Linked DNA regions of Tamandua tetradactyla. The protein of the gene in region 4 interacts with the protein of the main gene of each other region in a pairwise test. Links are inferred from orthologs where the notes say so. Each region holds a gene or a part of one and is shown on either strand. Other genes may lie near its edges.

The links.
Region 1: the proteins of GABARAPL1 (region 4) and OPRK1 interact in binary tests that used the Homo sapiens proteins (3 or more experiments, as listed by UniProt). The link is inferred for Tamandua tetradactyla from reciprocal best matches to the Homo sapiens genes GABARAPL1 and OPRK1.
Region 2: the proteins of GABARAPL1 (region 4) and SCYL3 interact in binary tests that used the Homo sapiens proteins (3 or more experiments, as listed by UniProt). The two-hybrid records come from large-scale screens. The link is inferred for Tamandua tetradactyla from reciprocal best matches to the Homo sapiens genes GABARAPL1 and SCYL3.
Region 3: the proteins of GABARAPL1 (region 4) and TAX1BP1 interact in binary tests that used the Homo sapiens proteins (3 or more experiments, as listed by UniProt). The link is inferred for Tamandua tetradactyla from reciprocal best matches to the Homo sapiens genes GABARAPL1 and TAX1BP1.

What each region holds. Positions count from the first base shown.
Region 1 is NC_135332.1:96,695,553-96,703,056, reverse strand, and holds the start of OPRK1 (kappa-type opioid receptor), read left to right. Parts: upstream 1-4,490; coding exon 4,491-4,747; intron 4,748-7,504. UniProt on the Homo sapiens protein: G-protein coupled opioid receptor that functions as a receptor for endogenous alpha-neoendorphins and dynorphins, but has low affinity for beta-endorphins.
Region 2 is NC_135330.1:23,700,795-23,708,155, reverse strand, and holds the start of SCYL3 (protein-associating with the carboxyl-terminal domain of ezrin), read left to right. Parts: upstream 1-4,347; 5' UTR 4,348-4,507; exon of another isoform or gene 4,508-4,561; intron 4,562-4,603; exon of another isoform or gene 4,604-4,794; intron 4,795-7,361. UniProt on the Homo sapiens protein: May play a role in regulating cell adhesion/migration complexes in migrating cells.
Region 3 is NC_135327.1:95,382,537-95,390,245, reverse strand, and holds the start of TAX1BP1 (tax1-binding protein 1), read left to right. Parts: upstream 1-4,695; 5' UTR 4,696-4,846; intron 4,847-7,709.
Region 4 is NC_135333.1:72,652,258-72,660,036, forward strand, and holds the start of GABARAPL1 (gamma-aminobutyric acid receptor-associated protein-like 1), read left to right. Parts: upstream 1-4,760; 5' UTR 4,761-5,026; coding exon 5,027-5,116; intron 5,117-7,779. UniProt on the Homo sapiens protein: Ubiquitin-like modifier that increases cell-surface expression of kappa-type opioid receptor through facilitating anterograde intracellular trafficking of the receptor. Involved in formation of autophagosomal vacuoles.

The sequences.
Region 1 (7,504 bases), on a different chromosome or scaffold from region 4:
CTCTTCCTCCTCCCTGAGTTCCAAATTCTTTCAAACCACAAGTCTTGCAGACTTAATTTCCTAAATGATTCTTGAAACTATCATCTCCTCCCCATCTTCTCAGCAAGTGCCTTGTTTGGGGTTGAATCACTTCTCACTTTGATAATCCTGGCTCCCTCTTCTTCTGAGGCCCAAATCCAAAATCTTCAGCATATTTGACAAGGCCCAGTGTGGGACCATCTGTTTTTCTATCTTCTGTTGTGCTTCCCTTGATTCCCAGGCTCCGGGCCCTTGGCCTCCTTTCAGTTCCACAAATGTTCCTGATGTCTTCCCACCCATGTCCTTCACATAGGTGGTTGTCATGGTTGGGTTCATGTGTCAACTTGGTCAAGTGGTGGTACCTGTTGGTCTGGTTGGGCAAGTGTCAGCCTGTCTGTTGTGATGAGGACACTTCATAGAATTAAATCATGATCAGGTCAGCTACCTCCACAGCTGATGCCATTTGTAATCAGCCAAAGGGGCTTGTCTTCTGCAATGAATGATGCTTAATCTGATCACTGGGAGCCTTTTAAGGAGGATTCAGAAGAGACAGGCTCTTCCTGTTTTGGCTGGTAAGCCTCTCCTGTGGAGTTCATCCAGACCCTCCATTGGAATCGTTGGCTTCACAGCCTGCCCTGCGGATTTTGGACTCTGCGTTCCTGCAGTCATGTGAGACACTTTTATAAATTTATATTTGAGTGTTCCCTGTTGATTCTTTTTCTCTAGAGAACCCTAACTAATACAGTAGTCTTCTGTGTAGAATGGCCCCTTTCTTTCTCTTCGCCCCATAACCATCACACAATCTCTCCAGCTTCAGTGTACCTTGTGCCTTCATACTGAGTAAGGGTCTCTGCTTCAGGGCCCCAACAAAGATGGGCAGGTTGTACACTGCCTAAGTGGTCAGTGTCTGACAGGATGTCCTTATGCCAAACCCAAGGCAGGCTTGACTATTTATTATGACAGCTTTCTCACAGAGAGGAATGAAGCTTCTTGAAAAAGGGGAGCTGTTTTACTAAATACTTGCCCTTTCCTACATGGTACTTACCAGAGTTGAATGTATTTAATTGTTAATTGATTAATTATATCATTTTTTAAAATGTAAGTTTGGTCTCTCACACCAGATTGGACATCCCACTTAGGAAGGGGTTTCATCTGTCTTGTATATTGTTGAAACCTCAAGGCCTGCCTTTGAATCTGCAACTTGGGACCCTCGAAAATATCTGATGACTAAGATGACCTGGTTTAGTAAGGCTTGTGCTGCCTAAGTGAGTTGATCACAGTTTGCAGGTGGCTTATCTAGTCTGCATAAGAGAAATGCCAAAGGCTTTGACATCACCTCCCTCCCCACAACAATGCTTCTTAGAAATAACCAAAATACATTTTAGCTTTGAGGTGATTTACTTATATCTATAAGCACAGTGCTTGCCATTGAGGAGGATATATGCTTCATATCAGTGTATGCCTAGTAGATAATGTTCTAGCAGTCTATTTTTTCTTCCTATTTTGTACACTTTTATCCAATATTATAATAAAATCTCATATTCCCAGGAACCTGGCTGCACACAAGCAGCTGTCCTTTGTGTGTAAAAAGACTGGCCCAGTTCCCCTGGAAATCAGCATTTGGCAGGCTTCTCACTGCTTTGCCCACTTCTGCTTCACTTTATTTCAGCCATTATATTTTTAAAACCAAAACAAAACTAGGGTGTGCTCTAATGAAACAAAATGACTTTTATCATACTCACTATTGCTTTACCTTCAAAAGACTGTCTCAACTAATTCAGAATGATAAAAATCAAAACATCATATTATAGTTTTAAAATCCCAGTCTGCATTTGGCATCCTGCTTTATAGTTAGAGAAGTATTTTCTCAATAAAAGCCCTTTGTATTTACATTCCTGTGAAAGGGAAGCTGAGAGTTTGCACTGTATGACTTCTATCAATTTGGAAATTTCTTTAAAGTTTTCACCTCCTTAAATTTTACCTAATTCTTTTTAAGCCATTTCCTTTCCTTTCTTCTTTTCTGTTCTTGCTAAATAATCCCCATCCTATAGTTGCTTTGTCTTTGGGGGGAGAGCCCCTCTGTATTTGTCCCCTGACTTAAATTAATTCAGTTCAATTGGCATATGACAGGAGCCAGAAACAGTGTGTTTGAGTCCAGATGAATGTTTCCCAGCTGTGTGAAGCACCTGTATTCTAAATAAAAACCCAACCAATGTGATAAATGCAAAAGGTGGATGGAGAAAATAGACACATTCTAAAAAGTCTTCAGTGCATGAAATCATAGATGAATAGATAGAGAAATGGATAATTCTGGACTCTGACATACTATTCATACAGCCCAACAATTCATTTATATTCCCCTTTTATTTTCCTCTCTGACTCAGATATTATTCAATTTTTGTAAACTTCAGGCAAACATTGTGCGCTGGGTTGGCTGGTAGTATGTGGTCATGGTGATAGGTAATGAGCCTCCAGACATGCAGAGAAGACTGAATTTGCCATCTTGGTAGAGTGGGAACCTACAGATGCCAGAGGCCCCAGCAGTCCCATGTTCTGCTAAAGCACAATGTCACCTTCTAATGAAAGTTTGCAATCAGACTTAAAAGAAAGTAACCAAGAAGAGATAATACTAACTTGTAAAACTTTTTAGGTGTTCAGAGTTAAAGGGGTACTGTTCTGCAAAGGGAAGCTTTCCTTTTGCTCCTCAAATTCCACTGCTCAGAAGTGCAGCGTATTTTTAGGGTTGTGGGAAGACTCTCCTTTGGGATTTCAGTATCCTGAAAGAGGTAGGAGCCATATTTTGCCAGTCAGTGGGTTGGTCAGCTTTACCAGGCATCATGGTGGCATGTACATGAGCTGGTGGGGAGAAGTGGAGCACCAGTGTTTGTCCAGAAGCACGTTGTAAACTAGGGTTCCTAACCCTTGGTCTCCTGCCTCCTACCTCCAAAACCTAAATGAAGACAGGGAAATTATTTAAAACATCTGAACTCTTTCGTTCAGAATCTACACTCTGATGGCTGAGCCCTGGCTCCTCAGTTCGGCTCTTTCTGCCTCTTACCCACAGGTATGCTGGGAGTACCTGTCACACCACAGGGGCCTCAGCTCCTTCAGCTTACCTTTGGTTTTTCTACCTCAGGCCCTTGCCACGCTGGTCCCTTTGCCCTGAGGGCCTCTTGCACCCAGCAGAACCGGACAACCATCCTTGGACTCGCAGAACTTTGGAAAGAAATGGCCGCGACTAAACTTCTCTACCGGGCTTCAGATTCTTGTGGAAAGATAAAGAAGAGCCTGTGGTGATGTATGGAGAAGGGAGAACATGACAGCCGCAGGGAATTAATTTAAGAGGAGTCAGTGTTACCTACTGGCACCGGGTTAGGAACCTGTTCTACTCTTCCTAGGGTACGACCACCTGCAGTCTGCAGCCCCCGGTCGTCCAGGCAGGCAGAGGAAAAGGAGAGGCACAGCATGCACAGAAAGAGTCTATTTAGGTGTCTTAAATCACCAATATTTTCTGAGCCGGTCTTATTCCAACAGGATCATTTTGCCTGCTTTATTTGGATAGGGCATTCAAATAAAGCCAGGGCTTTCCCTGGTACCCCAGAGCAATGGAGTCCTGAGACCTACGGCTACACTAAATTCTAGCCACACTAGTAATAATGCAAACACATACTACTAAATAGAAAATGCCCGCGCCGATCTTACGCTGCGCGGAAAGCTGCTGGACCACCCGCAAGCGACCCCGAGCGGCGCAGGACGCTGCGGACCCCGGCTGCAGTGGGCGGGGCGGCCCCGGGGGCGTGCCGGGCGAGTTCCCCGCCCGCTGCCCGGCGCCGCGGCCCAGCTTCCGTCGCGCGCCCGCCCAGAGCCACCACCAGTCCCGCCGCCAGTCCCGCGAGGCGCGCGCGGAGTTCGGAGGCCGTACTGAGTGCTTCTGAGTCCTCCGGCCAGAGTGTGGACCCGGCTTGGGGCTGAAAGCCGGCAGGAGCAGCAGCTGCGCGGCGACCTCGAGGACCCAGCGGTCCCGGGGCGTGTCCGGAGCGCGCGGCTCGGGACTGGACGGGGCGCCTCCCTGGACTACCCCGCGCGGCGCTGGGAAGCCAGAGGTGAGCGCCGGACCTTGGAGGCACAGCCCTGGAAGCGCGGGCTCTGGGTTCATGGGGACTCAAGGATGCCCTGTCCGTTAAGGGCTCGGGCTGGCAGTCTGGGGTAGTATGCTACCGGGGGACCGTGTTTAAGGGGGGTGGCGGCATTTCGGGAGCTGGGGTGAAGGAGCGAGCGCTCTCCCGTTTGGTGGCCGGGAGGGCGGCTGGAGGCCGGTCTTCCTTGTCTGGTCATAGGGGCTGAGCGTCCCGGGTCTCCATCCGTAGGCTCTAGCTGGCCCGGGAGCGGAGAAAGTTTGCCCAGCCCGAACTCCCGCTCTCCCCAGTCCCGCAGGGTCCGCCCTCCTCGCCCTCTAGTCGCAGCCGCCACCCATGGAGTCTCCGGTGCAGATCTTCCGCGGGGTCCCGGGCCCCTCCTGCGCCCCGAGCGCCTGCCTGCTCCCCAACAGCAGCAGCTGGTTTCCCGGCTGGGCCGAGCCAGAAGGCAACGGAAGCGCCGGCGCCGAAGACGCGCCGCCGGAGCCCGCGCACATCTCCCCGGCCATCCCGGTCATCATCACCGCCGTCTACTCCGTGGTGTTCGTCGTGGGTTTGGTGGGCAACTCGCTGGTCATGTTCGTGATCATCCGGTGAGCTCGGGGTCCCGGCGCGGTGGGGGCCGGCCCGGGCGCGGAGGGCTGTGGGGCAGCCCGCCAGGTAGTAAGGGCTCCTCCAGGTGCAGGGTTCCCGGGCCATTCCAAGAGGGTGGCCTCTTAGAAGAGGTGAACGATTTCCTTGGGGAGATTTTCGGTGGGTGGCTTCAAAGTTCGCACAGAGGAAACCGAGCAGCCAGAGGCGTCTGGTGGGGGGTGGGGAGTCTCTGGAGGCCCATGGCCTCGCCGAAAAACTCGGAATGGGCAGGGAAAGGTACCAGGTGTGAGGCATCAAGGTGAATTTTAGGGTCTCTTGAAAATGATACAAATTCATTTGCATGGACTTTTGCCTGGTTGCCTGTGCCATTTTGGCATACTTTCTTTCTTTTTCTTTTTCTTTTTTTTGCCCTTTGCAAATATTTCATAAGATAAATTTCAGGCCCACTGAATGCACCGAAAGCAGGTTAGAATTTCCTGTGACTCATCAAATTGATGTAAAGGCTTATGAACCCTACTGTTTAGGGTTGTTGATTCTGATTAGTACTGAAATGCCGTCTTGTTTGTTTAGAATACCAGTGACTTTTATAACTAAGCCATTGCATGCTTTTTCTCTTAAAATATTGACTGTGGAGGTTTACAAAAATTTCTTGGATTTTATTTTTTTACCCCATGAGAAATTGAAGCTTGCGTTGTTCTTTTGTGGAATTTTATTGCTGCCAGGTTCCAATAATGAATCTCTCTAGATGTATCCACATACATGATAATTTTCTGCTTACTAAGGTTCTGATTTTAGACACTATCAAAAAAAAAAAAAAGTAAAGGGAAGAATTCTTAATTTTGGTGAGGCATATGTATGTCAATTTTGGGAGATATAATGCTTTAGAAATGCACCCAATGAGAATGAAGAAGCTGCTTTGAGAAGTTCCTGTGAAATAAGGAAAAGATGTCCCTGTTTAGGGCACTGAGAGGATGAAGAGCTTATTTTCTTAGTCTGACTCTAATTTTAAAACAGCCCGTTGATTTATTGTGAAATTTAAGAGCTGTTCCTGCAGAAGCATCAATCTTTCTCCTGGGAAATCATCATCACAAAAATACCCATTTATCTTTTTTCTTTTTAATTGGAAATATCAGTTTGTCCCCCCTCTATGTTCTGAAATTTAAAACCATAATTTTAGCCTTCAAGTGCACATTTTAAAAGCTCGTTTTCACCTACAATTAGTGTTTGTAGCTTGGTATTCTTGGTTTTCATAATTATCACATATTACAAGAATTTGGTCAGTGGTAAGTGAAGGCTGCAGAAGGGGGAACATTTAAAGAGCAAATCATTTGTCCAAGTTAATATTAATCTCAGGGTTGATCTTCATTAGAGAGATTATAGAAAACCAGAAGACAATGAAAGATATCCATAATTACAGTTATTATAATATCTTTGGTACAGAGGCCTTGTAAAACAAAAAGTGTTACACAAAAGAGGATGCTGGGAAGAAAACAACTCTCTTCACCCTCGTCTCATATTTGGGTGCTTGTTTTTGGGTGAACATCAGAAGTCTTAAGTTCGTGAATAGTTCTTAGTTGCTCTACAACTTTTTATATGGCCTTGCAGACTAATGGAAGTAAGAATTTTCAAATATATTTGGGAGACATACATGTGAGGGGAAAAGGACTCACATGTATATGTGGACTTTTCCTTTTACCATAGGACTTTTTATGGTAAATAGAGATACATATATGCGCATATATGTACATAAATCCAAATATATCCAGAATCATATTTTGCTAGATGAGACTAAGTTCAGCTAAAACTACAAAATAAGTTAGATAAAATAATGGTCATAAGAATATCCTCCATCTTCCTATCCCACTCATGTATTTAGAGATTAAGTTTGATAACAAATGTAAGGAAAGAGTTATACATTATCCTGGAATACCAACCTACTGAGATGGCAGTTCATTTAAACCCATAGCTAAAAAGGTTAGGTTGTAGTTGGAATGCATTAGGATTGATAGATGGTTAATAAATTGAAACATAAAATTTCAAAAAAGATGTTGAAGGATTTGCATTTATTTAGCTCTGGAGAAGAAAGAACTGGAGATTCAAGGGAAAATAGGGTGGGGAGGGCTGTGGTATGGCCATCAAAACTGAGAGGAGAGTGAGGGGCATGGGATTCGAACTCAGCTTCATTGAGGGCTGGGTAGCATTTTCTGAGAAGCTAGGGGATCATTTTAGAGAAAGATTCTATCTTAAAATGCTATACATGAGAAAGGGTCTTAGCTTAGTTCAGTTTTCTAGAAAATCATTTTATAAGGTGAAGGTCTGGGATGCCAGAACAGATCTGGGGAGAAAGAAAGAGCTGTGGGAAAAGCTGGTACTGTTTTTAAGTCTGCCTTTCAAATGGATCTTCCTGTTTCACATGATTGGAAGGCTACTGGGTGTGTCCTGGAGAGATTTAAGGGTTCAAGGGTTCTCATCATTTAAGGTGGACCAACTGTCATAATTCTCTAATAATATAGGGGCACATGGATGTTTCACTGTGAACATTTTAAGATTTTAACTACTCCAGCCACTTCTATTTCCAGGCTTTGATTTTTATGGCCCCTGGGTGAGAAACTCTTCTTAGCCCTTGAGTCAAGTCCTTGACTTCTTTTACCATCTTTGGTATACCCATGGGTGTATTCCACTAAGGACCCCAATCTCACAGTTTTGAAGTCCATCGTGTGTCATTTCCACTCCACACCAAACCCATACTCACCTGC
Region 2 (7,361 bases), on a different chromosome or scaffold from region 4:
TATTGAAGTAGTATATTAAATGGAAATGCCATAATTCTTACTATCCTTATTGGTTTTTAGGAAGAGCTTGTGAAATTTTAGTTCAAGTTGGGTGATTAATGTTTTTGAAGTATCAGGAGTGCTGGGCCTCCAAGATGCTCACAGCTCATCTGGGAGCCTAAGTGAGAAACATGAATGAAATTAACCAAAAGACAATCTAAAAATTAAACTAAATATAATATATTTGGCACATTGTGATTTGAGTTAGGAAGAGCACTGATAAAAGGTAAAATTCAAGTTGGTTCTTAAATTATCACAGGGAAAAATTATTTGTAATAGAAAAAAAACTATTTGTTTATAATTGACTGGCCATATACAAAGGAGAGTGCATCCAGATTGCTGGAGACTTTTCTTTCCTGGCCATGGGCATATGTGAAATGAGTAGTGTGGGATTAGTGGAGAATGCAAGACTGCTCTGCAAAAGAAAGAAGAAGGCATAAAGAGCTCAGAAAGAAGCTCCAGGGGTCTCAGAACCAGAACCAGAGAGATATAAAGGTGCGTAGATTAAAAATTAGGAGGGCGAGACATTTAGGACAATGTGAGGCAAAGAGGCAAAGGAGAAGCCTGGCTCAAATACCAGCCTCCCAATAAATGGATTCATTAAAATATATTTACTGAGTTGCCACTGTGTTCCAGAGCCCTACACCACTGATGCCGGCCAGGCCTGGAAATTCTAGGAGAAACTGAGAGCTCAACCAAGGGCTGGCGCCATGAGGATTCTGGACTCAGTCACAGGAAAAAATTCAAAGACTAGTGGGTACATCTAGATAGTTTAATAAGCTTGATGCAAAAGAACCCTGGGAGTTCGCGGCCAGATGCAGGAGAGCTCCAGGAATTCTAGAAGTCAAGACCTCGACCAGGGGTTGACGCTGTGAAGGTTCTTAACTCATACACAAAATACCCTGCAGCGGCAGTTGTTAAACATTTATCAGCATATCACTGAATAATGGGCAAAGAATCTTGCACAGAGAGAAAGTAATCTCTAAAGATTATTTATTCATATACTGTGCTCTAATTGTTTTCCTCAGTGTTGATGATGAAGCTGAAGGACACAACATTTATGACCTCATGAATCCACGGCTCTTAAATTTATATCTCCTGACTAAACTCTCCATTCAGCTTCAAACTTTTATATCCATCAACTGACCTGATAGTTGCGCATTGATGTGGAACAAACCTGTATGGTTTATACCAAGCACCCCATTGTGGAAGCCAAACAACAAAGCAGCAAACTTGATTCCTCACTTCATTTCTTATTAACAAATCCCACTGATTCTATTACCAAAATATGTTTCTGTCCACCTAACTCCACCTCTACTCCTTCTTTCCTAGTCCATGTCATTATTACCTTCTGCATAAACTAATGCAAAAGTCTCTTAACTGGTCTGCCTGTTGCCATTCTCACTTCTTTATTATCAATTCTCCATATAATAGCTAGTGTGATTTTTTTTGAACTGTAAGCCAGGTATTACTCTCTTGTTTAAAATATTAAATACTACCGAATGCTTTCTCGTGGCCTCCTCAAAAACCACTCTCTCCTTCATTTAGTGTACTCCAGCCACACCAGCCTTCTTGTTATTCCTTAAACATACCTTTGCAGTTGTTCTCCGTGTCAAGAATGCTTTGTCCATAGATCTTCATTTACCTGACCCCACCTTGTCATTCAGTTTTCAGATCAAGAATCACCTTTTCTGAGAGGTCCTACTTGGAGGTCCTATTTGGTCCTATTTAGAATTCTATTCTAAAGTAGAATTACCTTTCCCTCCCCTGTTTTCTTCCCTCCCATCCTGTTGCTATCGCAGCAGTGTGATAGTAAGGCATAGCGATCAAGAACATGGAATCTGTAGGTAAATTTCTCTCTATCATTACCAGCTGTGTGACTGTGGTACCCCTTACCTAACCTCTCTGCAATTCAGTTTTCTCATCAGTAAAACAGAGTTGCCATATGGCTTAAATGAATTAGCACACACGAAGTATCTGACACATAATAAGTGCTCAATAAGTGTTAGCTGCTATTATTATTACTAAATTACCCTGTTTTGTTTTCCATAGCATTTACCATTATCTGAATTTATCTTTGTCCAATTATATGCTTATTATCTATCTCTTCCCTTAGCTCCCAACTGAGATGTGAGAGCAGGGAACTGTCTTTTTTGTTCACCAGTGTGTTACCCCAATGTCTGTTCCCAAGAGCAGAAGCTAGCACATAGTTTTTAACTGTCAAAGAAGCGTGAGGAGAATCAGGAAGGTGTAGAGACATTTAGCTCATATCCAGCACCATGCACATTAGCTTAGAACTTCTATGTCGGTGGTGTGGCAGGGCACTTTGCAAAACCAAAATAAAATGCCTCGGGATAAACTACTCAAACATCCCCAATCACTTAAAAAAAAAATTAAGTCATATTTGCACCCCTCTAAGAACCCCATTTTCTGCATGATTGTGTCTTCTCCCTTTCTTTTCTTATGCGGTAGCACAGTGCCTGACACAAAAAGTGTATGCATTAAATATCTGTGGAATAAACACAGATTCCAACATCAAGCTGCAAGAGAAATGTGTATGGTGTTTGCAAAGTAGGCCAGTATTCCTTACAACATCCATATGGGTGTCATCATGCTTGTGACTGACTTCAAATTACTTCCTTATCAACAGCGTAATATTCAGTGTGGTTTAATTGATTGAAGCTATGCCCTACGAGCAACCTGCATTCCAGTAGTCGGGAATCTACACTCCAGGGGACGTTAGCGCGCATCATACCGGAAAGGCTACATTCTGGAAGTGGGTCTACAAATACTTCAACCAACTTGACCTCTGATGACACCAAATGTTTTTCTATATATCATGGTAAACGTAGGAAATGGGTTTTTACTGGTTAAAATAGCAGCTTCTTAATTATCATGATAAAAGTTAGGAATGGGGTCTCAATGAAAAGTAATGTGGATTCACTAAAATAGTCTATAGAATGGTCTCCATTCTTGAATAAACAAGGTCTAAGAATTTTTTCCACTAGGGATTCCATCCAAGGCCTCATCTCCAAATGGACTTAGCTGTAACACTAGTCTAGAGGATTTCTGGTTGCTGGATGTTGATGCTGGCTATGATGGTGCTAGGATGTTGTCTCTACAGCACTCTACCTCTGCTTCTGAACTTTCTAATGGAGGTGGTGGTCAGACCACCTAGAACTGAACTCTTCAATATGTTAGTTACTAATCATACCTGATCACTGAGCATTAAAATGTGGCTAGTCCAAATTGTAAAAATATATGTTGCATTTTGAAGACAGTACCAAAAAAGTATTTAAAATATCTCATCAATGATTTTTTATATTAATTGCATGTTTAAATTATAATCTTTTGGATATATTGTTTAATATATACTATTAAAATTAACTTCTTTTTACTGTTCACCTCTTTCTTTTTATTATTTTTAGTGCAGCTACTAGAAAATGTGAAACTACACATAGGGCCCACATTTTATTTCTATAGGATGGAGAACTCGGTTAAATTAACTATCATGACTATCTTCTAATAAATATTCGTTTAATACATTTCTGATTAAGAGGCAAATTTGGGCTGAAATTTGTTTTCATTTAATCTACTGAAGAAATTATCTAGCTGAAACTTACCCAGCAACGTTATCCACCAGAAAGGATCTAAAAGTTGTGCATGAACAATTGATTTAGGCCAATTGTCAACTCTAAGGCGGTAGTAGCATTATGTAGTAGTAATGACGACTACAAAGATCGTGAAAAAATAGCGATCATATATTGAGTGGTTACTGTGTACTGTTTTTAAACCATTACGTATATTCACTTAATTCTCAATAGTATTAAGTACTATGAATATTCCCAATTTCACTTTTTGCTGAATTAAGAGTGATTTGACGCTCTAAGTTTCAGCCGGAATCCCCACGATCTCTGTCAGTTACAGCTGTATCTGCCCACGCAGCGCGGCCAATCATCGCCAATTTCCTTATTTCTATTTTTTTTCCCCTCTCCGTTCCGCCCCTTTGCTATTTGTAAAAGGAGGCTGGTAGCCATATTTGTTTAGGGCGGAAATAAAATTAAAACGGCGCGGTTATCCCTAAAAATAAAAAATCAAGACTTATTTGTGCAGTCACCTGAAGGCCTAGAGAGCAGAAATCTTCACAGACCAACTAGGCTGTCGGAGGAAGTGCACAAACCAGGGTCGGCACCGGCGCCCGTACTCAAGATGGCACCTGTCTAAGAATCACCTTTGCGGCCGCTCTATCTCGGTTCCGGGTTCGTTCGCCTCCGTGCTGGTGTCGGGGGTGTGAGGGTTGGCCATCTGTCCCGCTTCCGGGCCCATCTCTATGGTGTCGGAGGCAACAGACTCCAGCAGATTGTACTTGTAGTGGCCACAGCCTCACGGGGGAGGCGAGGGTGGTTGGTGTCAACAGGGGGACCGGAGCCAAGACCCTCCGCCGCCTGCCCCCGCCACCCTCCCGCAGGTAACTGGTTGCCCTGCGCTGCGTTCTCCGACTCGGCAGCGGGGAGGAGAGCCGGGGCAGGGGGAGCAGGCGGGCGGCGCGCGCCCGGCTCGCGGAACCCGGCGCGGGGGTGAGCTCGGCGCGGCGCCGGCTGCCGGTTGCGCTCTGCTCTCCTCCGCCTCCGCGCACCCTTCCGCCTGCTTTATTTCGGGGGCGCCCTTCTAAACTAGGCTTTGCCGGGTGCGGCGCTGATGCCGGAACTATCGGAGGAAAGTGCGGAAACCGGGCCTCGCCTGGAGGTGTGGAAGGTGAGGGGCCAACGTAGCGAGAGCGCCCTCCCCGCCCTTCAGCGGTCCGGGGCGTCGCGGTTGGACCCCCGCACCCCGCCCACGGGCCGCCTGTCCGGCTCCCGGCCCTGGTTTGCTCGGCAGGGCTAGACACTGCCTTGGGGGCAACATTGGCCCCTGCCGTGGGGAGCCTAGGGTCGCGCCGCCCCTGGGAAGGCGTCTTCAACCCGGGAGGCTTCGTTGGTGACCCTAACCCGTGCCATTTGCCACCTCCTGTACCCCCCACTCAGGCCGGCTGTTCTTGACTTTGCGTAATGCATTTTATTTAGAATAAAGTTGAAATACATTTCTCGGAAGGGCATATTTAGGAAATCGTATGAATACTGAGAGTCGGGGCCTGCGTTTTTGAGTAACTGTTGCTAAAAGACTCCTGTGCATATCCACATAAAATCTCATCTCTTAGCAGAGATCGAACTTAATTCTCTTGAAACGTAAAGGCCTCGTTATGTATTACTTGTCAACTAGCAATACTAGACTGAATTCAATACAGAGACTGTACATTTGAAACAGACCAAAGTATAGGGCCCGGAGTATAGTAAGTAACCCATTACCAGATAAAGTATCAGTCAATACAAAGTGTTCCTAGAACCCCCAGTACAAGCCATTATCTTTGGAACTTCCAGATAATTGCTGGGGGGAAAAAAACAGGTATTTCCTCTAGAGAAAAGGGGTTTTTTAGTTGAGCATACGAGTTATCCAACTACCTAGACAAGGACTTTTAGAATGCACAAGTGGTCAGGAAACTATTTGTTCCCCAAGGAAGCAAAAGGATGGAGGAAGATAGGTGAACAAAATGTTTAAGGCAAGACTGATGCACATTAGAATTGAAGACTGCCAGCTCAGTATTTTATTACAGAGAGTGGAGGTGATAAATTCTGCAAATACCTATGGTGTGGTATTAGAATATCCTTTTCTACATTTGACTCTTACTCTAAAACTAACAAGATTTCATTTCCTCCCTCACTTCTCAAAGCAAAAAGAAAATTTTGTAAGCTCAAGTGTTTATGTCTTACATTTCAGCAAGTTCATTTTAAGTGAGTTTTTTTAAAGCACTGTTTATGTCAACAATGTTTACAGCTCTTTAGATACAGCGTTTTTAGAATTATTGCAGTCATCTCATTTTTTCAATTTGCAATCATCAGCACATCTTTTTATTTTCCCCTGATAAGGGAAAACCTGCAGAAAACATAGAATGTAACCCTTCTACTCTGTCAGTGTGGCACTCATGTTATTAGTGGACTTGTATCACCGCTAACCATACTTTCAAAACAATAAAACGATTATTTTCTCTCAAGTCCTCTTAAGACACCATGTATCCTGTTTTAATTTTTAAATGCTACTTATTAGGGTCTCCAACATGAAGTACACTGTGCAGAAAAATTACAATTTTAACCTCTTCCTAAAGCTTTCACAACCCTATATTTTGAAAATGTTTTTTATTGTGAAACAAGTACAAAGAAAAGAAAGAAAAGCAATAATTTTCAAAGTACACTTTAACAAGTAGTTATGAAACAGAGTTCAGGATTTGTTATGGGTTACCATTTCACTATTTCAGGTTTTTCCTTCTAGCTGCTCCAAAACACTGGAGGCCAAAAGAAATACTGGTATTCTGATTCAGCATGCTCATTTATTAAATCCTATTTTCTGTTATGACTTCTCTTTTTTTCTTTTCTTCTTTTTCATGGGCAGGCACTGGGAATCGAACCCCGGTCTCTGGCATGGCAGGCGAAAATTCTGCCCCTGAGCCACCATTGCACTGTGCCCTCCTCTTTTAAGCCTTCTACCAGTCTATAGAGATGTTTAGGCAATGCCCATGCTGACTTTTTCATGTTGAGAAGGGGTATCAACACTAAAGGATAGGAGCATGTAATTAGTTGATGATCTTGCAGAGGCTGGGCCCTCTGGGTTTCAGGATTTATCTGGCCTAGGAACCCTTTGGGAATTATAGGTTCCAGGAAAGCAAACATAGTGCAGGATACTTTTATAAGAGTCTCACTTTGAGCCCTACGTGTTTTTAAGTATAAACAGAAGTGATGTCAGTTGGGGTTTAGCAAACAATGGCAGTTGCACTCTAACTGAAGCTTGTATAAGAGCAGCCTCCAGTGTAGCCTCTTGACTCTATCTGATCTCTCTTAGCCACTGATGCCTTATTTTATTACACTACTTTTCCCCCTTTTGGTCAGGAAGGCATTGTTGATTCCATGGTCCCAGGGCCAGACTCATCCCTGCATAACCCTGTCTTAATTATCTTGTAGTGGAATTCATAATATTAAATCAAAGGTTAGTAGATGTAAGGCATACTGTTCCACAAGGAAGTATTTTGCTATTTAGAAATGACTAAGTAAATTAAATGCCCATTGTTACAGCCTCTACGGGTGCCGTTCATCAAGACCGAGTACCACCCTGAGTCCTGGTAACCGCCTTATCTCCTTTGGGAACCAACGCAAATTATAACTAAATAACACGGTTTTCTGCCAAGAGGATTCTCATTTACTTGCAGTTCCTTATTCTCAGATTTTCCCTTGGTG
Region 3 (7,709 bases), on a different chromosome or scaffold from region 4:
TTGCCACTGGGCGTTTCCTGTAAGGGGTAGCTGCAGGCAGGTTGTCTGTGTAGGACACTGGTCCTCCTGATCTTGATTTACCATCATTGCTTGAGGGCTCCATGCAGGGTTTTCCCCCTCCCTTCTCTCTCACCTTAATCTTTTTTTTTTTTTAAAGATTAGAAATTTTATTTTTTACTAAAATAAATAAGATTATTAAATTTTAAGGTGAGACAGTTCTCACCTTAATCTTTTTTTTTTTTTTAAAGATTAGAAATTTTATTAAAGCAGAAAAGCATCCTACACAAATGGGAAAAGAAAAAGAAGCTGAAACACACAGGTAGGCTATATTTTATATCATTAATAAAACACTTTCTGAAATTGTTACAATTAAGTTGTGATATTAGAGTGGTCTTTAGGAATAAAGAGCTCATTGTTTTTTTAAAACCATTTTTATTGTAAAATATAACATATATACACAGCAAAGAAAGAAAAAATTATTTTCAAGGCACACTTCAACAAGTAGTTACTGAACAAATCCCAGAGTTTGTCATGGGCTACCATTCCCTCATCTCAGATTTTTCCTTTTAGCTACTTTAGACACTGGAAGCTAGAAGGAATATTAATATAGTGATTCAGCAGTCATACTCATTTGTTAAATCCTATTCTCTTCGCTATACCTCCTCCTTCTCCTTTGGTCCTTCTCCCAATCTATACGAATCTTTGGGCAATACGTATTCTGACTTTTTCATCCTGAAATGATGGTGGGGGGTGGGGAGCGGCACACTAAAGGATATTGCCTCTTAATCTTAAGGGTTGCTGAAGGATGAGGGTCTGTCTTCTATAGCTGCTCTGACTTTTCATGGGGTGTAGGCCCTGCCTGATAGGCATAAAACTTTCTACTTCATTTAAGTTGAGAGGGAAGGTATCCAGAGGGGAAGTTGGAACAGCTGAAAATCTTCTCATCAGCATTAGTTTGGTGTAGGATGCTTGATTTTGAAGGTGGAACAGTTATGGTCCAAGGTACAAACAGGAATATAGGTATCTGGAGTGGAGTGGAGATCACTGAAGACAAGGGATTCAAGAAATAAAAAGGCCAGGGTGTTGGAACGTTCATCCTGAAGGGCCTGGAATGAAGAATAAGACTGTTCATAAGGTGATAGTCTTCCATAAATGAGGACAAGTGCTGTGGAGATCAGCAGATGATAGCAACAAGAAGGGAAAAGGTGAATAAAACTGAATCGTGTTAATCAAAGAAGCAACCTTCTACCAGCATCTGGGAGAGTAGTGGCTAATAAACTATAAGGAACAAGGAGTACATCCATACCCTCTCCTAACACACGAGTAAGAGAAAATAAATAACCTTGTTTATAGTGACTTCTCTATCAAAAGCCTACCATTATTCAAATCCCATCCTTAAAAGTGCTTTTTCCCTAGGGTGGTGCAACAGTGGCTCAGTGGCAAAATTCTTGCCTGCTATGCTGGAGACCCGGGTTTGATTTCCAGAGCCTGCCCATGGCAAAAGAAAAAAAAAAAAAAAAGGTGCTTTTTTCTAAATATGTTTTACTTTAAAAGGAAAGAATCATTTGTAGCAAAAGGAATCTTTAATACAAACTCAAAGGGAAACCTCTGATCTAAAAAATGAAAACAACTCATTTTACTTGGCTTTTAAAACCTATAATATTTCTATAACAGGCCCATTGGAATTAGTTTCTAATTTTTAACCCATGCTGTACCACTTATTTGCCTCATTTGTGCCCTTCTAATAACATTATCCACCCTCCCACTACCCAGCAAGCCTTTTCTCCACCTTTTCAAATTCTGTTAATATTTCAAAGTTTAGAGTCCAGTCTTTTTTAAATTGTCAGTAATTCCCAAATAATTCTGCATCAATCTTTCTACTTTACTTCTTGCAGTCCATTTCCTATACATTTAACACTTAATGACATCATCTTGTATTATCAGAGAGGTATCTGGTAGCTTTGAGTAAGAAACCATGCTTTATTTTTTGTTTTCCTCAAGCACCTAGCACAAGTTGAGACCACACAGTGTGATTTTTTTGGAGGTTTTATGGACCCCAGAAAAGATCATGTTCTTAAAGCGACTCTGTTTCTGTGGGTATAGAACTATTGTGGTTGGGACCTTTGATTAGGTTATTTCAGTTGAGGTATGCCCCACGTGGGTCTTAATTAATAGTCTTAGTGGAGCCCCTTATAAAAGCATGAAAGAGGAAAGAGAGAGAGAGCTGAGAGAGAAAAACACACGAAAGCTGAGAAACAAAGCCACAGACAGAGAAGTCAGAAGCTTAAAGAAAAGAAACCCAGAAGAGAAATGAGAGACCAGCAGAACTGCCATGTGCCTTACATGCTGGCCGAGATGCTGAGAATTGCCAGTAGCCTGTCGTCAGAGTCCAGGTATCATCCTGATGATGCCTTGATTGGGACATTTTCATGGTCTTAGAACTGTAAATTTCGAAGTTAATGAATCCCCATTGTAAAACCAACTCATTTCTAGTAGAGCGCATTTTGGCAACTTTAGCAAACCAAACAGAAAGTAAATGACCAAAAAAGCACTCATCAAGAAGCATCAGAGCATAGTAGGAAATGCATGAACTTTGGAGTCACAAAAATGAGTTCCAGTCTGGGTAACCCATTCTGTGATCACTGGCAAGTTATATAACCTTTCTGAGCTCCACTCCACTGCAATGCTAATGCCTACCTTTCAGGGCTGCTGCAAGGAATGGAGACGATATAAGTCAAATTTCAAGCACAGTGCTTGGAAAGCACTATATGTTTCATAAATGGGAATTATTATTTTTTGTTAACTCTCCTCTAACTCCTATGCCCATCATAATTGGGAAGTCTTCCTCCTCCTATCACCTCATCAAATCCCTGCCTAACTTTAACAGTGTAGGCCTGCTTCCTCTATGAAAAGTACACTGCTCACACAAGCTTGTAATGATTCTCCTACCTCTGAAGCATTTTATTTCTACTTTAGTCACCTAGGTTTTCATGGATTAATTTCTTTTCTTCCCTTTACTATCATGAGTTCCTATAAGAGAGGAACTGTTCCTATAGATATGGTCAGCTATTTTCCTAATCAAAACACACAATAGGTAGTTTGAAACAGGTCAGGACAACAGGCTAGAAACTACTTGAAACTGTAATTACTCCAGAAAAATTGATTGATACCTTTTCCAATAATTTTTTTAACAGGTCGACAATTCTTATTCACAATTTTGAAATCCAAAAAGCTCTGAAAATCAAATGTTTCTTCACTAGACAAAATTTGCTGTGGCCTGAACTCATTTGTCAAGAAAACTTGATCTAATTTGAATACATGGTGGTAAAGTTGTAAAACCTGATCTGAACAACTGGAACTGAAGGCAGACTATTTACAGTCTTAATTTATCCTTAGTTGATACTTACAATTTTCACAGAAAAATCATTAATTTGATTATGAGGTGTTGCCTCTAGACCCTGTAGGAGTGTCACATAATGCGAAATATACCTTTCTAAAGCCTGAAAAATTCTGAATTACACCTGGCCCAAGACTTTCACATAAGAATTGTGGCCCCATGTCTCTTATAGTCACTAGCACACTGCCCTACTTGTTAACAGGCTAATTAAAAAAATTCACCTAAATATTGTGAGGCTATGTATTTATTTTGATGGGAGAAACATGGTCTAAAAATTCAAGGACTTGTTATTAAAAGGAATAAAGCAAAGTAAAGTAGCTAAACAAATACTTCATGGGGAAAACAAGGTCTAAAATTGTTTAGACATTATTATTAAAAACAACAAAACAAAACAAAAATTCCTTCACAAAAGTGTTGTTTTGAATTGTGGTTTTTATTAAGTATATTGGTTTCTGGTTTCATGAACTGAAAATGGGTAATAGAAAATTTATTACATGCAAATACATAATGTGTATGTTTTCTATTTAGCAGATGCTTCAACGTTTAATGCGGTCTAATTTGTCATCCTCTCTTCGTTGGTGATACTGTACACTGTTTCAGTGTTTATGGAAATAAATACAGGAATATGATGAGTACCGACAGGCACACTTGCTTCCGCGGAGTTAGGATTCAATCTGAGTGCCTACTATAGGAAGGGAAGATAAAAGTTTAAAAAGCGATTAAAGGACATCATATAAGGCAATTATAATTTAACAAAACATAGGAAAAAATTCGCACACAAAATAATACAGATAACAAAAACAGTTTACTACAGAAATGTGGGCGTTAAGAGGCCAGTGGAGCTAGAGAAATAGCTCCTCGGAGAAAGGGAGCGCTTAACAAAACTTGGTAGTTCAAGAAACAGGAGCAGGGGTTGAGGGAGAGCCACAGGGGTTATAGCCCTAGATGTGCGGTCGCTCTCTTCACCTCTGTCATTCTCTCTCTCCTTATCTATAAGTGAATTAGTTTAGACAGAGTTTTAAGATCCAGGCAATAACTCACATACCTCTGGGTAACCCTTTATTTCGCTAACTTAATTTTCCAGTATGTTTCCCCACTTCGCATATTAAAACACTAATTAAAAAAAACCCGCAAATGCTAAAAACGGAGCCTGATTTTCTGAAGTGAACCTCTGAACGAAAGTTGTAAAACCGAGAACCGAGGCCGAGCAGCCCTGCAGGCTGAAACAGCTGGCTCCGCTTCGAAGCATGGCGGCCGGACGTACCGCGCAGCAGCGGAAGGAACGGCCTCGTGGGCGGAAGTGATGTCACGCCGGCTCTGGGCTTTGAGGAGAAGTGTTGTTAGTCTGTAGAGGGAGGTGTTGTTGGCGGAAGAGGTTCGGCCCCTGATGGCGTCTCTGGCTCGGAAGCTTCTGTAACTTTCCTCCTCTGCCCGGGAGTCCCTCAGTAGGTAAGCCCTTCTCCGTCCGCTCCAGCGACTTTTGCGGGGGCAGACTCCAGCTGGAACCCCTTTGGGACTCGCGATACGCCCCTCAGCCCCTGCAGGCTAGGGGCCTGGCAGCTTTCAGGGAACTGGTTCTCTGTGATGACGATGCTTTTCTTCCCGGGAACAAACATTTTTCTGTTGGACTGTGATTGTGACGGGGTGTGTGAGCGATTTCGATTAGCAGTGGAGTTGGAAAAGCGTTGAGTGGCCGCCCTCCACGGCGGGGGAGGCCAGCGTACAGGCCTTGGGACTTGGGACGTGGGCCCTTTGGTCGGGACAAGTGACTTGTGCGGCTCTTGGAGAAAAAAATATGCTGTCCAAGGATCAACTCTAGGATGACGCTGTGTTGAGGGCTTGTGTGTGCTACCGGTATCGGTAAGCTTGGGATAACATCTAAGTCAGGTCTGGGATGGACGCCGCCTTTGATTCGGCAGAGACTCGCGAATTTGTTTTTAGTCACCCGTGGATCAGGAGGCGGAGACTCCCCCTGTACCGCCCACGCGGTAGGGCCGCGGGCGGGGTTAGCTGTTCGGTCCGGATCTACTTCACCTGGACTACAGAATTTCGAAATCTGCTTATGAATTCCCCCACCCCTCATCTCCCAGTACTCGAAGAGATAAATAAATAAAAAAAAAGTCTTTAGAGGACAGTCACATCTTCCTTTGACTAGTCAAAGTTTTCTTTGTTTTCACAACTCTCCTTCCTTCCCCCGCGGGTGGTGAACAAGTCCCGACCGTGTCTTAAGAGTTCCGGAGCTATGCTTTCTCGAGTCCACTGTTAGAGCTTAGCTGGTATGTGGGTGTTTGTCTACATCACCCTGTTAATAAATTATATTACACCCTTTTGGTCTAAAGGTGGGCTGCTTGCCCTCAAAGCCCTTTTCGGCTATAGAGAAGGGGTTGAGGCCAGACTTGCTTTCGATGTTTTTATCTGAACTTGTAGACTGATTTCTTGAAGGATTACTTAATTACACTAAATTTGACTTAAGGTTTTTTTTTTCCCAATGTGGTTCTCAGATGTCAAAGAACATCCTATTCTAGACATCACAGTTGTGTAGAGTTATCCAGTAAATACTCTCCCCGTAACAAAAGTAACAGGTATTTTGAAACTCTTTAAGTTCGGTCTTTTAAATAATGTTAAATAGTTTTGAGGATCCTAACAGTGCTCCTTCATTACCTGTTTGGGGGAATTACTCAGATGTGGAGTGTATTAGATTGTATTCTTTTGGAATTTGGATATTACTAAGTAAAACTTGGGATTTATGCACTTTTTGCTCATTAAAGCTTATTTTGGGCCAAATCTTTAGTAAAAAATAGAAAGTCCCTCCTCTCAAGTATATGTGGGGCATTCGTAGCATTTTAGAAACTAACTTTAAAAAAAATTTTTAAAAGTAAATATAACTGGTGTTCGGGACACATGGGCAGAGTGTAATGACACTCAGCTGTAAAGGATTCTGGAAATGGGGAATCTGCAGGAATGCGGTTTGGCAGATGGAGTAGTGAGCTATAAACCAGTTGATACTCTGTATGCATTCAAATATTGAAATATTATCAAAGTGTCAGACATTTCCCACCTTTTTAGATGTTTTTGTGTCCTGTAGAACTGAAATTTTGACGTAATTTTAAAGGTTCATAATTTCCAAACCCGAGATTCTCAAAGCTTTCGCTAATTTTGTCAATGACTACCTGAATCACAGTGCTTCTGAGGACACACAGAAAAAACACATACAGAAGGAGAGCTAAAAATAATATAGATTAACATTTTGCTAGTCTTGTTCTGTTACCCCCTCCAACCATTTATTTTCCCCTCTCCTGGAGTTTGTAAAGCAAATCCCACTCATAAGGACAGTTCTCTTATAATTAGTTTAGCATCTCTAATTGGTGAGGATTTGATATATCAAATTACCACAATCTCGTTATCAGACCTAACAAAATTACCTTACTGCTTCTTTAGTCCTAATTGTTGGGACTGAAATTATAGAAAATATTTATTTAAGTTAAAAAACTTAATTTGACTTTATATGTTTAATGCACAGAGGTTCTCAAGTCTGTTTTCAACATTAGTTGACTAAGGCTTGCATGTTTTGGTTAGTCAGGTAAAATAATTATCAGAAACCACAGTGAGGGGGAACAAAACCTGCCACAAAAGCCAGATCTATTTTGGGCTTGAAATATTTGAAAGAGAAGCAAGTAAAACAACCTTGAAATGTTACCCGTGACTCCAAAATTTATTTTAGAGACTACTGCATATTACTTTTTTTTAAGGATTGATGAGTTCTCAGAATAACAAAATTTAATTTTAGACTAAAGACTTTTATAATACCTAGTTTGTGGCCTAACACAGCTGAAGGAATTCTAGAGGTGTTAGGACTTGAGGAAATATAGTAAGTCCTGGACGAGGACACTGTAGCCGCATATATATATATGCATTTCAGATTTTATTTCCCAGCCAAATGTATCTGTTCCTTTAATTCTTAACTGGATTTTTTTTCTTTTTACTTATCTGTGGCTTGCCGCTGTAATCTACTCATGTGTCTGAAGAGGTACTTTACAGAATAGGAAGCAAAATTTGGTATGCTCTATTTCCTTTGTAGATAGGAGCTATATTTCCTTTTTCAAACTGAGGTGCAGCTCGCATTTTTTTCTCAGGATGCTGGGGATGCTACACTTCCCAAGGATTACCACAAGGTGATGCATAGACTTTGCACATTACTTCTTCACTGGTTCTGGATGTGCGTGTTGATGTGTATAGTGTAGTGTATAAATCTACCTGGGGCTCATCATCTTTTTTTTGCATGGGCAAGCATTGGGAAACGAACCCAGGTCTC
Region 4 (7,779 bases):
CAGACTGACTGGAAAACAATTTCAGTGATTTATGGATTGTCCAAGATGCACTGGGATTTCAACTGTGGAAAATATTTGACATTCTCTCTCTGAGTAACCTTGGCCAATATTCCCTTGGCTCCTTCACCTTGGTTAACCCAGAGTCGCACTATTTCCCACCTCAAAATTCTTTATAACTTTAATATTTTGGACACATTGTCATGAAAATGGTCAATGTTGGAATTGAACCCTAAAGGATGATGGACTTTTAAAAGCCAAAGACACAATAAAAGGGTATTCTTTCTATGAGTGAAGATAGGGAAAAAAGACAATGCGCCTCATGGAGAAGGGTAAAAATTCCAAGAGTGATATAATAGGAATGAACATGGAAATATAGGTTGGTGTATTTTTATGGAAGGGCTTATGTGTAAGATTAAGTAGTTTGGACTTTATCCTACATTCAATTAAAGCACTGCAAGTGTTTCAAGGGGGAAAGGAGATGATGTGATGTATCTTGAAAAATACCTTGGATATCACTAGATGAATAAAAGGAGAAAAAGACAGCAGACAGCGAGACCATTAGAGTTACTGAACCATCCCCTCTGACAACAATTCTATAATGTTTAGGATAAAAACCCAGTTCTAGGCAACATTACGAAATAAGGCAGACTAAATTTAAAGCATGTATTTCAGCATCTGTGTAGTCACCTTTCAACTGATTATGTTTTCCTCAGTAAATACCAAAGCAGATCAATTCAAAGAGGATGAAAGCTCATCAAGATTCAAATAATGGATGAGTAATCACAACCTTTTGAATGGCTACTATGCATCTGGTATATTACCTAATTTAATTCTGCAAACTCTGTTCCCCGAGCTTCAAGGAAGTAATATAACCTGCCCAGAGCTGAGTGACTGGGCTACGTTCTAAAGTCAATTTCCTCACCTCAAACACCAAACTGAAAAACCCTTTTATTTTTCAATTTAATTTTTTTCATTTTTTTATTAATTAAAAAATTAACAACAAACAAAACATTAAGATATCATTCCATTCTACAAATATAATCAATAATTCTTAATATCATCACATAGTTGCATATTCATCATTTCTTAGAACATTTGCATCAATTTAGAAAAAGAAATAAAAAGACAGAAAAAGAAATAAAATGGTAACAGAAAAAAAAGATTATACATACCATACCCCTTACCCCTCACTTTCATTTACCACTAGCATTTCAAACTAAATTTATTTTAACATTTGTTCCTTCTATTATTTATTTTTATTCCATATGTTCTACTCTTCTGCTGATATGCTAGATAAAAGGAACATCAGACACAAGGTTTTCACAATCACAGTCACATTGTGAAAGCTATATCATTGTTCAATCATCATCAAGAAACATGGCTACTGGAACCAGCTCTACATTTTCAGGCAGTTCCCTCCAGCCTCTCCACTACATCTTGAACAACAAGGTGGTATCTACTTAATGCGTAAGAATAACCTCCAGGATAACCTCTGGACTCTGCTTGGAATCTCTCAGCCATTGATACTTAGTCTCATTTCATTCTTCCCCCTTTTGGCCGAGAAGGTTCTCTCAATCCCTTGATGTTAATTCTCAGCTCATTCTAGGGTTTTTCTCAGTCAATTTAATTTTTATTCTTTTTAATCAAATGTGTGATTTTATAAAGTTAAGTAGCTCTATATGGCTTGTGAAGAAAAATAGCACTTTCTCACCACACACACATATTTTCTGCCCCCTACTTTTTAGCTGATTTATTTAATGGACACTTCTACAGATTCTATGCATATGTTTCAATTCTAGATTTTTATTTTCAGTTATTTGGGGCATAAACTATTGACATTCCATTGTTAAAAGTTGAGAATTCAGCCTTTTAATTTTTTTTTATCACCACCACCTCACCTTTGTTACCATCAAACTTCTGAGCATTTCTTGTTCCCCTTTTCCAGCTTCTAAATATAGTTACATCATAATTTTGATTATATTAGTATTATGGGAAGCAGGAAAGAGGGCACTAACAAGAGTTTGAAATAAGGCTTTATGGCTTAAAAGAATGGCTCTGCCCCATATTATCTTTCCAATCTTGATTTAGTCTGTGCCTCAATTTTCTCATCTGTAAAATGAGTACATCTATCTCATATTATTGAGGATTATGGGCGCTAACACATACGTATGTAAAGCATGTAGTATTTAATAAGTGGTAACCATTTTTATCTTGTTGATTACCTTGACCTATCTTCTGTTAAATCCTGTTTCATATACCTTGTGTCTTCTCCTTGTTTTTTTCCCTCATTTTGGACATGCTTACTGAAAATATGCACACAAGAAGTAAATTTTAGGAGAGCTTGCAAGGCTAAAAATGCATTATGCTACTCTCACACTTAAATGATAATATATCTTGGTATGAAATTCTAGGCTGGAATTCATTTTCCTTAGAATTCTGAAGGTATAGCAAGCTTTAACCCTGCTTTCTTTGCTCTATCTTGTCTTTATTTGGCCTTCTCAAATGTATTTCTGTGTTTCTGTTTCTTGTGTAACTAATTTTCTATTTGTGTCTGTCTGCCTGTTCATTGCATTATTTTATAACTTGAAATGTAAAAAAAAAGTAACAAAACTTTTTTTTTAAGAAAGCTCTACTGGAAATGCTTAAGAAATAAGTAGTTTTTAAACATATTTTATATAAATCAATACTCTTCTGAAGTAGAAAGAAAAAAACAGTAAATAAGGAGAAAAAATTCTCTGAACTGCAAAATTCAAAATCTTAGTTTTGTAATTACTATAAGCAAACCTGGCCATCTGAAAGAAACCGCCCTTGGAATTTCCCTAAGGCCCCAGAAAATTGCCAAAGGGCTGCCTCTAGGAAAAAAAGCAAAGACCTTTTCCAATTGTTCTGAAGCACCCCCTCCCCCCCCAAAAGGGAATATCTATGTAACCATTCAGTAGTCAAAATCATTCCTTAAATCCTAAATTTTTAATTACAGGGCTCCAATTCATTTTCCTTGTTTCTATGATAAAATTTAGTTTTGTTTGTTTTTTAAAATCAGAGACATTGGAACCCTGATAACAGAATATAGATGATAAAGCCATCAAAAGCAGTGAGTTCTCTGCCCCAAGCACTCAAATGACCAAGTCCTGAGTTTCAAAGAGAGGGTTTATTGCTAGGCAGGAAGCAGGAGATCAGATGGGCTGGGGGCCTAAAAACTTGGTCTCCCTGAGCTGCAGTAATTCTGATCGTTTTATAGTGTCAAATGATGAGCTGGTTTTAAGATAATGAGCACGTGACTGGAGATGATCTAGTTATAGAGCATGCACAGATTGCTTACATGCTTAGTCACAGAATTTATGTAAGAAAATGGCTGCCTTAATACGTTGATGGGTGTGATTTTTAGTATTCTGAGGTATAGGCTGCTTAGATTCAGCTCTATTTATCAAGACAGCCTTGGAATTGGGCGGGTTAGTTCCACTGATAAACATTAGGGGCTATCTTTAGTGATCATAAGGCTCTAAAGTTGAAACACAGGATAAGGGTGTATAAGGGAAGGTCAGTCACAAGGTTTTTAGTCATAAAATAAATCGTTATCAGAAATTAAGGCAATTGGATTACAGTTCAGAGATTTCAGGTATTTCCCTTTGTCTATTCTAATACACTAGCAAGTAAAAAGGAATATCTATATAATGATTCAGTAATCAGTCATGCTCTCACCTTAACTTCTTCCTTACACTGCCGTTGTAAATAACTTTAAAAATATAACTCATTAGACTCTTTCAGAGAAAAGCATACTTTCCTCACTCCTTATCTTTTGCAAGTACCACCGCCTTCCTCCACCCCCCCACCGGTGCGACGGATCCCAGGAATAGCCGCCTTCACTAGCAGGTGGAAAAGTCTTAGGCCTTTGGTTCTCCCTCTGGAGACGCCACTCGCATCTGCCTCACAGCCCAGTCTTCCACCATCCTTCCTCCTGTCTCATCCTATTCCCCTGAAACACAAATAACCCGTACTATCCTTTAAATGAATTTTCGCAGAAGGAAAAAAGAAATGTTCGAGAGCCACTAAACGAATAATTTAAATTGGCTGAAATTTTCTTTTCTTGAAGCCGGGCCCAATTCTGGGTTGTAAGAGAAAGTGCATCACTTTTGTATTGGGGCATGCGTGCAGCCCTTAGTAGTTATTGCCGGCATCACCTCTTCCCTGGATTTAGGTTGTACTTCATGCCCTTCATCTTACACATCTCAAATTCCTGAGTCACGCTCTGTTTCTGTCGCCACTCTAGGAGCAAGTTGTGGCATTCATCCAATCAAAACTGAAGCGAACCTGAGGGAGGAGAGGCCCTGGTGGGAGGAAGCCAACCTAGCACGCAGGCAGGTCCAATTAAATGGGCAAAGGGCAAAAGGCAAACCCGGGACACATCTGCACTGGCCAATGGGATGCCAGGCCCTCCCTCCCTCTTTTTCCTGACTCCAGCTCGCTGGAAAAGGCTGGATTTTAGCCCTTTCTATTCGTTTTGGGGCCCTACCAAGAGGCAGCGGGGGGAAGGGAAGAAGTCATCTTTAGAACACACTTTTCGTTTCGTCTTAAAACGACGGTCAGTATGAGAGTCACAATAAAACAATAAGAAAAACTGTCTTAGCTACGCTATGTAATCCAGATAGGAAAAATTTAGATGGAAAAAAATACACTAAAACAGACAATTCTTATGTCCACCCCTATTCCTGGAGGTCCGGGACGCTGGGGCGGGGTGAGAGGCGGGACTTCGTGACGTCGCAATACCGACGCGCCGCAGAGTTGTTTTGCGTCCCGTGCCCTTCGGGAAAGCCGCCGGGATTTCTGTTCTGGCGGTCCCCTAGCTCCAGGCGAAGGGAGCATAGATCCCTTCCGATCGCTCTGCCAAGTGTTGCGGCGGGAGCTGGCGTCTCCGAAGCGATCCTGATTTATAGTGAAATTTGGCACAGGGAAACGATTCTCGAGAGACGCGACCATCAGCCAGGGAGGCAGGGCCCGAGCGGGGATCTCAGAAACCCTGCGGTCCATCATGAAGTTCCAGTATAAGGAGGACCATCCCTTCGAGTATCGGAAAAAGGAAGGCGAAAAGATCCGGAAGAAATATCCGGACAGGGTCCCAGTGAGTGTCATGGGAGCGGGGGGGAGGGGACTGGGAAGCTCCCGGGGCGAGCGTGGCTGTGGTGAAGCGTCGCTGCCCCAGGCCGAGGAGGGAGACGCGAGGTCCCTGTAAATCACTAACCCTCGACGCCGTTCGCTGGTCTCGGAGCCAGTGGACACTCAGACTGCCGACCTTTTAAAACCTATATCCCCAGGGCCCGTTTCCATCTTTACAGCTGATCGCATCTTTGGAGCCGAGCCTACGTCTCGAGTGACTCAGCATTATTCAGATACGAAGGCCGACATGTGCACAAAATATGGTCCTGTATGCGAGAGTGATTAGGTTGGGGCCCTTGATTTCCAGCCTTTAGAAGCGCAGGGATATTGTTACGGGAGCAGCGAAGTTGGCTTTAACCTTCGTTTTATCCGGCTTGGGAAGGAAAGAATGGGAAGCCAGTGGATTCTTTCTTGTGTTTTATCATTAGGAAAGGGGGCGGTAAGGGGAGCGCACCACCAGGCGGACGTGGCGGGGAAAACAAGGTCACGTTCTCTGCGCAGCAGCCCTCTTGCTTCATTATTCTTGGCTCCAGGGGCTTGTGTGGGGAAAGGCCAGCCTTCCCTCCGCTACTTAATTCTGATCAGACTGTACCTGGACACAACAAAGCGGGACCGAAGCCTCTTTTTCTCTGTTGCGGAACCTGGCATGTGGAGTTAAAAGTAATGCGATCGGTGAGGAGGAAGAGAAATACTAAGGCATCCCTCAGCATCCGGGTGTTTTTCCCGTTTCCCCCCTCCCCCGCCCACTTGCCTGTTTTTTTTTTCTCGAATACAGGCTGCGCAGCCGGAATGGAAGGAGGAAGAAGAGTGGTAGATTTTGGAGATGGAGGAGCAGCGACCTTAAGGTTGTGCTCTTTACCTGCCACCTTCAGGCAGGGACAGTGGGAGACGTTTTACATGTAATGTATAAGTAAAGGAATTGCAATTATCTGATGTCCTTTCTTGACCTGCATGTTCTCCTTAAACCTAGTCTACAGTCCTAACCTCAATTTCATTGTTTTACAGTTACCAGAGGTGAGTTGGGCCTTAGCTAGCCCAACAGTAGAAACCCCTGGTAGTCCTTTTCCTATCAGGAAGAGGCGCCCTTAAGGCCTTTCCATTCCCAGAAATTGGGTGCTACTGAGTAATAACTCAGGAAAGAGTCCTTCACAAATCACTTTCCTGCTGTCTGGACCTTGGGGGGACTGTTTTAAAAGCTTCTCCTAATTCTAATCTCCGTCTTTGATAGAAGTATTAAAAAATGACAGTTCACCTTTATTGATGGCTTATCTCTTACCCGGCTGTCTTCTAAGTGCTCTCTATATTCAGTTAGTCCTCACAGTGGTATAACCACCATTCTACAGATCAATCAGAGAAATGAAGTAACTTAGGAAGCTTGCAAATTGCTGGTCTGTTACTGGTCAGGATTCCATTCCAATTGTTTCTCAATTTCTAATACAGTTCTGTTAACTAGAATTAAGTGCACACTGTGTGTCTCACATTGTACCTTCCAGAGCTCACAAGGTAGTATGGTGCTGGTAAAGTAAGCCGGTAAACAGAATGCCAATTTTTCAGGGGTCACTAAATACGAGGCTCTATGCCAATAGTTTTGCCTAAGTTACAAACTCTAAAATGTACCTTTTCCTAAAGCTAGTTAAAATCCCCCTATAATTTTTCAAAATTAAGCCCTCCCCATTTCAATCATCTACCCCTCATGTTTCATATGATCACCTGTTCTTATTCTGTAAATGTTTTACTTTGTGATAATAAATAAGTCACCATGGACCTGGCTCAGCTCTCTGGCTTCTTCTAGTTATGTTTTAACCGGTGCCAGACCTCTACCGCTTGTTACCGGTTCAGTGGATGGCCCTCTTTCCTGCAGTTGTGACGCAGGGAGAAGAGCTATATGCTTTCTTAATACTGTGATTTGGGTTGTAGTTCTGGCTTTACAGGAATTCCCTGTATTCTCAGTCAACACCCTAAATCTCACTGTGCTCAAGTGACCCTATTTATGGGAAAGTAGGGTTCCAGTAAATGATTTCTAAAGCCCTTCCCAGCTGGACCATAGGTGTTACTCGAGTAATCTCATTCCCTGGCTGCTCGCATAACCTGGATTTAGACCCGGTCACTATCTTTTTATAGCTACCATTGAGAAGAATAGGTGTGCTTATACCTTGGAAGGAAGGAGCTCATGGGATCTTGAAATTGCCTTTATAGCTACAGTGTATTGCAAACCTGTGACAACAGGAAACTAAGAGCCTGCAGAATGTGTCTTTTTTTAATTTGTTAACAACCCAATGGAATATTAGCTATCTTTAATAGATGAGGCTAAAGAAGCAAAGCTTCTAAGCCTGAGGGTCCACTGTAAGTGAGAAATAAGTTGGGATTCCTGCAAACCTAAACTCTTTTACTCTAAATCAAGGCCTTAATGATTTCCTGCCCTGCCTTTGCAGGCTGCTCTATTTTTTTGCCTTCCTTCCTTTGTGGTCACCTCTTATTGATAGGAGCTCAAGAGTTTGGGGGAGACACAATACCAGTCTCGCTGTCCCCCTTTGATTTTATTAACTCTGCTGTCTTATGTCCATCTCATTTGTTGGCCTTTCACTGATCTCTCCATGAAGCTGTTCCTACTTTTTCCTTTTAATTTTG